Cricetulus griseus: one gene and its partner. The protein of the gene in region 1 interacts with the protein of each later gene in a pairwise test. Links are inferred from orthologs where the notes say so. Each region holds a gene or a part of one and is shown in the gene's direction. Other genes may lie near its edges. The genes, in order: Satb1 and Pias3.

What was found.
Region 2: the proteins of Satb1 (region 1) and Pias3 interact in a two-hybrid assay, tested with the Homo sapiens proteins (2 studies listed by BioGRID and IntAct). The link is inferred for Cricetulus griseus from reciprocal best matches to the Homo sapiens genes SATB1 and PIAS3.

What each region holds. Positions count from the first base shown.
Region 1 is NW_023276806.1:251,371,021-251,374,838, forward strand, and holds part of Satb1 (DNA-binding protein SATB1), read left to right. Parts: intron 1-1,772; coding exon 1,773-2,227; intron 2,228-3,818. UniProt on the Homo sapiens protein: Crucial silencing factor contributing to the initiation of X inactivation mediated by Xist RNA that occurs during embryogenesis and in lymphoma.
Region 2 is NW_023276806.1:59,798,107-59,801,399, reverse strand, and holds part of Pias3 (E3 SUMO-protein ligase PIAS3), read left to right. Parts: intron 1-107; coding exon 108-158; intron 159-336; coding exon 337-427; intron 428-1,118; coding exon 1,119-1,253; intron 1,254-1,433; coding exon 1,434-1,539; intron 1,540-2,038; coding exon 2,039-2,112; intron 2,113-2,221; coding exon 2,222-2,382; intron 2,383-3,293. UniProt on the Homo sapiens protein: Functions as an E3-type small ubiquitin-like modifier (SUMO) ligase, stabilizing the interaction between UBE2I and the substrate, and as a SUMO-tethering factor.

The sequences.
Region 1 (3,818 bases):
TCTTTCACAAAGTGTACCTTCCAAACAATCCATCTTAAAATTAAACAGAAATAGGGTATTTCATATACAAAGCAGTATGCCCTATTATAAATCTTTATCACCGTTCCATTCACTTAATAGTAACAACAATAATAACTTTTCCTAAAGACTTAGCGACGAGACCCAAGTTTTGAGCATATTTTAGCTTTTAATATTTGAAGAAAGGCCATCCATCTACCAAAACAGATTCTTTGCCTTTTATAGCTTAGGGCTATAATGAAGACAATGCATCAAGTTTCGGAATAATTGCTTGAATTACTGTTTCATGTGAATGGCCCGCTTGGGCTGATATCACTGGTAGAAACTGAAGGTTTCTTTCCCTTCTCAGTTATATTCTGCATACATCTTGGAGTAAAACAATATGACCAGTTCCTCTGATTATAAAATCTGCACATTTAATGAAAAGAGAAATGAGTCTGTCCATAAGAAGGGTGGACATTTGAAAAGGCTTACCTGTTTATATTACACTCTCATTTTAGCCTCCCTCCAGTCTCTTATGTGTAACAGCACAGCGTTTGGCACACTTAGAGCTGACTCCTAGCCAATCCACACAAGTGCTCTAGCCAAGGGAGAGGAATTCATTCTGGGGAGGTGGAAATAAATTACAGAAACGTGACAGCATCACCATTGTACTAGGACAGCTCTCTGCCCCATCCTTAGCATCTGGTGAGAACCACACTTCTATTAAAAGCATTCAAGCCTTAGCCACACCGGGTGTGCTGGCTTACTCTATGTCTTCGCTTTGTCCTGAGAAGTATTTGCTGATACCCTTGTGTCCATGATTGGACTTAAATGAAACAAACCACATGTGATTCCGAGAGTGGCAGCCAGCTGTTGTGCCCACCTTATTACACGCTTATTTTGTAGCCTTCTTCTTTCTTTTGCCTGGATTGCTAGATTTAACATAATATGGAAGTATATCCAATATTTTTGTGTTTTAATCATAGTTTATCCACTTTTAGTTTAGCTCACGGTTTCTCGTTGCTGTTAAGCCTACAATATTCTTGTAGCCATCTTAAAAGAAACAGTCATTGCTTGTAAGCCTTCTTGTACTTGTAACTGAGAATCAGTAATAGTTTGATCCCTAAGCAAATATAAAAATGTGGATGTAGTAATTTTATGCCTTGAATGGGTGGTTCTCAACCTTCCTAATATAGTTCCTCATACTATTATGACCCCAATCATAAAATTATTTTTTGTTGCTACTTCATAACTGCAGTTTTGTTATAGTATTGTAAGTCATTTTGGAAATAGAGGTTTTCCAAAGAGGTCTCGGCCCACAGGTAGATAACCACTGCTGTAAATTTAAGCTGCATTTCAAAACAAGAACAGGAGCGCTGTCCTGCCCTTAGTGTGTGGGATTGTCTGTAGAGGGAAACACAGCCGTGGCCTGGGAGCTTGTGTCCTTAGTTATCTTGGCACCATTATTCTTCACTGCGCTCTCTCTCTCTCTCTCTCTCTCTCTCTCTCTCTCTCTCTCTCTCTCTCTCTCTCTCTGTTTCAGACAGGGTTTCTCTGTGTAACAGCCATAGCTGTCCTGGAACTCACTCTGTAGATCCAGGCTGACCTCAAACTCACAGAGATCCACCTGCCTCTGCCTCTGCCTCCCCAGTGCTGGGATTAAAGGCATGTGCCATCACCACCCGGGCTTTCTTTGTATTTCTCATGTTAGGAAATGATCAGAAAGTTTCTTATTGCTGTCTGAACTTGATTTTCCTTTTTTTCTACTTTAGTTGAAATGGATAGTCTGTCTGAACTATCTCAACAAGGCACCAACCACGTCAATTTTGGCCAGCAGCCGGTCCCAGGGAACACAGCTGAGCAGCCTCCATCTCCCGCACAGCTCTCCCATGGCAGCCAGCCCTCTGTCCGGACCCCTCTTCCAAACCTGCACCCTGGGCTGGTGTCAACACCTATCGGTCCTCAGCTAGTCAACCAGCAGCTGGTGATGGCCCAGTTGTTGAACCAGCAGTATGCGGTGAACAGACTCTTAGCCCAGCAGTCCTTAAACCAACAGTACTTGAACCACCCTCCCCCTGTCAGTAGGTCTATGAATAAGCCTTTGGAGCAGCAGGTTTCCACGAACACGGAGGTCTCTTCAGAAATCTACCAGTGGGTGCGGGATGAACTGAAGCGAGCGGGAATCTCCCAGGCAGTGTTTGCACGAGTGGCATTTAACAGAACTCAGGTCAGTTTTGTTCTGTTGTTCTACTGCCTCCTCTTGTGTCTTTGCTGAGCCCTATCTAAGCTCATGTTTTTCCTTTACTCTTTGTCAACCTCTGTTAACATGGCACCTCTGTTAAGTGTGGTCCCTGTGCCATCACTTCTGTCCCTGTGCCGTGCTCCTCTTCCAAGGGCACATCCTGGCATTGTCTGTATTCTCCTCATGGAATGGTAAGCTGTTAGTAATAGAAGGTGAGGAAGTGGCTAGCCTAGTGTTGTTTCTATGTTTCTGTTCATATCAAGCTTAAATACATTAATGTGCTTTGTTGAAATTCTTCAACTCTTTTGATACTATGCAGCTTAATAGTGATTGCATTTAATTCTCTGCAGCCGTTTCTTAGCCTTCTTCCATGATTTGTTCATGTTCTCCACACCTCATTCTTATTTTCCCCCATGTTTGTGGTAGAGTTATATGCATTGTACAAAGTGTGGTTTCTTTTCTTTCTCGCAGAGATCTGCCTGCCTCTGCCTCCCCAGTGCTGGGATTAAAGTCCTGTGCCACCACAGCTACCACTGCCTCCCAGCTGAAATGTGGGTGTTTATTTTTTTTATTTTTTATTTTTTTTGGTTTTTTGAGACAGGGTTTCTCTGTGGCTTTGGAGGCTGTCCTGGAACTAGCTCTTGTAGACCAGGCTGGTCTCGAACTCACAGAGATCCACCTGCCTCTGCCTCCCGAGTGCTGGGATTAAAGGCATGCGCCACCACCGCCTGGCTCTGAAGTGTGGTTTCTTATGGTACTTTGTGTACACATTGTGAGGCTTGGCCATGCTTCTAAGCACCTCTTCTTCTGATGCCCTTTTGCCCTTTGTCCAGAGTTCCTGGTTTATTTTGACAGATTTTACCTCACACCAGAGAAATCATGTTTCTTTCTTTTTTTTTTATGTGTCTATATAGTAAATATTTGAGGTCATAAACTCTGATCACACTGTAGATCACTAGCAATGGACAGTGGTGGGATGGGTGTGGCTTGGTGGCAATTCACTTGTGTCTATATCAGGCCATGTGCTGGGTTGGCTGCAGGCATTTAGTTTAGACTTCCCATTGAGGCCTACAAACATCCCCAGTGTTTACACTTTTTCCCTCCTGGGCAAATTCCTGTGAGACACAATCTTCTCTGCAAGAATAGTATCTCTAGTATTTATAAAGGTTTTATTTGTTTAGATGTTAACATAATACACGTGATGTTTATTTTTAGCCAAGGCACACTAAAATAAGAGGAACATTTAACTTTGAGGCTGTAATGTCTTCTCAGTTTTCTTGTTTTTACCTTGTTTTTTTTTTCTTTTTCTTCCTCTTCCTCTTCTCTTTTTTTGTTTTTTGTCTGACTCATTTTCCTTTCATCTTCAAGTTTTGTTTCTTTTCATCTTTATTTTGTTTATTATGATTGTGAGGATACAATTCTGATACAAAAGTAATTTAGTATTAATTCCTTGTTGGCAGTTGCTGAGCCTAGGAGAATGCCAGCTGTGATTTGTGTTTGACTGGCTTTGGTTAGACTGAGGGTCAGAAGACATGGTGGGGTTTTATAGGGCTCCTTCAAATTTTCTACAGCTGTT
Region 2 (3,293 bases), about 190 Mb from region 1:
GTTCTACATCGTCTCTTGTTCTTCTGCCTGTCTTCTGTCTGCACCCTGGACATCTTTCTCTCTGCCTAGCCCCACCCTCTGAATTGACATTTCTCTTTCTATTGCAGAGAGGTTCTGCCAGGAGCCAAGTGTGATTATACCATACAAGTGCAGCTAAGGTGAGTTGCTTCTTAACAAGGATGGGTGCTACGTAGGGGTATGGCATACTCATCTGCTTGTTCTGCCCAGTCCACTCTGGATGCTGGGCACTGCAAATTAGTTCTGACTGCTTTTTGTCTAGAGTTCCCTGCTTCAGTCATCTCAGAAAACTGCCACTTACCTGTCCTTTCTCACCAGGTTCTGTCTCTGTGAGACTAGCTGCCCACAGGAGGACTATTTTCCCCCTAACCTCTTTGTCAAGGTTAATGGGAAACTCTGCCCCCTGCCGGTAGGTAAAGATTCTTCCCTTTTGGCAACAAATAAATATTAAGTAAAAACCTCTTATGAAAAGATATGCTGAGCACAATGCCTGCCATGTAGTAGTTGCTCAGTTTATCACTATAATCTACAGAGCCCATGCTTCTGTGGAAGGCCATACATTCAAGAGTTTATGGGCAACACAAACTGTACCTGATATGTTAATGGGTGGGGCTCAAGGTTGGGTGAGTAGAAAAGCCGGGGTCCTGGGAAGAATCGAGGATGAGAGTGAATAGGATCAAAACACATGGTATGGAATTCTCAAAGAGTTAGAAAAAAATAAGTAAAATAAAATAGGGCTGAATAATTTTTGTCAGAACCCAGAAGAGGGACACTAGTTTAATGCAAAGGTTTAGAAAAGACTTCTAAGAGGTTACAACGTCAGATGAAAGTAGAAGATGAGAAGTGTCCCTGTTGTTCCCTGGGATTCCCTGGCTGGGTTCCTAGTTCCTTGGTTAATAAATAAGCTCTGCCCCCCAGAAGTGAGCCTCTCAGAGCCCTGTGTAGGGCCCTTGTTTTGCATCTCTGAGTGGATCCCTACTCCATTGCTCATGAGTGAGCTGGCCTCCCTCCAGAGAGAAATCTGAGACAGGATTTCTGTTGTTAGAGTTGAACCCCTTCCCAGTGCTCTGTCTCCTCTAACAAGTCCCTCCCTTCCTCAGGGTTACCTTCCCCCAACCAAGAATGGAGCAGAGCCCAAGAGGCCCAGCCGTCCAATCAACATTACATCCCTGGCTCGGCTCTCAGCCACAGTTCCCAACACCATTGTGGTTAATTGGTCATCTGAGTTTGGACGGGTGAGTGGAGCTGGAAGGCCAGCAGAGGCTGCAGGGGAGCCATCTAGTTTGGGGTTGGGGATTCATTTTGTTCTTTTGGGCCTCTCTGATCAAGACCAGTCTCTCGTTGTGAGACAAAGTATGTGGGGAAGGGGGAGGTAGGAAGCAGAAACTAATGCTCTGTTCCCATTCCCCAAGTAGAATTATTCCTTGTCTGTGTACCTGGTGAGGCAGTTAACCGCAGGGACCCTTCTACAAAAACTCAGAGCGAAGGGTATCCGGAATCCAGACCATTCCCGGGCACTGAGTGAGTATCAGCCTTTTCCTTCTTCCACATCTGGCTCAGGGGTTCCTGCTGCCCTCCAGGTTTTGTCACAGGCTCTCTTACATGGTCTCCAGCCCTCCCCCAAGCCTGTGCTTCTCAGTCTCTGTGGTTGAGAAATTAGATCCTCAAGCAATGGGAATAGCTTTGCACTCCCAATCATACAACAGTTCTGTATCTCCAAGACCCTAATTCCAGCCCTACTAAGATGTGAGCTCTCGGTACTGATTTGAGCTAACCCTCACTGGATGCTTTTTTTCCATCCAGTTGGTCCCTAATGTAGCCCACATTTCACCCTGCAGTGTTTAAGCATCTTCAGGGATGAGAACTCACTTCTCCACACCCAGCTGTCTTGGTACAGACCCACTCCTGTGACATGCCATGGGCCCCCAAAGACTCTGCTCAGCTGCCTCTCAGCTGGGGCCGTCTCCAGGCTGCTTCCAGCCTCGCTGACCCCATGACTTTGGACTCACTCTTGTTTCAGTCAAGGAGAAATTGACCGCTGACCCTGACAGTGAGGTGGCTACTACAAGTCTCCGGGTGTCACTCATGTGCCCGGTGGGTACTTGGGGTGAAAGGAAGTGGGAGGAGGGTTGGGTTAAAGTCTGAAGAGGGTCCCTAAGGATACTAGAGCAACGTTTTCTATAATGGACTCTCCTCTCGTCAGCTAGGGAAGATGCGTCTGACCGTCCCATGCCGTGCCCTTACCTGTGCCCACCTGCAGAGCTTTGATGCTGCCCTTTATCTACAGATGAATGAGAAGAAGCCAACATGGACATGTCCTGTGTGTGATAAGAAGGCTCCCTATGAATCTCTTATTATTGATGGGTAGGGCTTTGCTGCTTCCCTCTCTGCTAGGACAGTCACTTAGATGCCTTCCCTCACTTTATGGCTTATGTCTCATGAATTGCAGCTCTAACCCCCGTGTCTCCTTTAGTCATCCACCGTGTGTGTGTGTGTGTGTGTGTGTGTGTGTGTGACATCAAGGACGTAGGCTAGCTAATACGTCATGCTCAGTATTTTGCATGCATTTTCTCATTGCGTCCTCATCATAGCCCCACAGCATATGTACCATCATCGCAGATGAGGAAAGACTAGAGCTGAAGGTCACATTCGTAAATGGCAGAGCAGTACATCGAATTTTTCCAATATATTGCCAGTAACAACTACCTGAACTTCCCACAGCACATAGCTGTAATGTTCCTTCGTTCCTTTTCATTTTTACTATTACAAGTAGCAGCTATTAGATTGGCACAATAAGGGTGTTTTTTTTTTTTTACTTTTTTCTTATTTCTGGATATAATTATATAGCTAGTCTTCTACGACCCCAACAAGCAAATAATTTTTTTGGTCCTAAGTAGTTTTAGTCCCCTAGCACAGCCTCCATTAGGGCTCTCACACTGTCTTTTGAGAAGTTTTAAACCTGCACCTAAAATTTGTGAAGTTTTCTGGGCCTGGTGGTGCATTCCTTTAATCCCAGCACTCTGGAGGCAGAGGCAGGGGCAGGTAGATCTCTGAATTCAAGACCAGCCTGGTCTACAGAGTGAGTTCCAGGATAGCCAGGGCTACACAGAGAAAACCTGTCTCAAAAAAACAAAAAAAACAAAAAAAACTTGTGAATCTCTTTTACATACTTCCCTCCACAGTGCTAGGGCTCAAACTCGGGGCCCGCATGCTAAACAAGTGCTCTGTTACTGAGCTATAGTCCCAGCCTGTGAATTACTTCTATTCCAGCAACA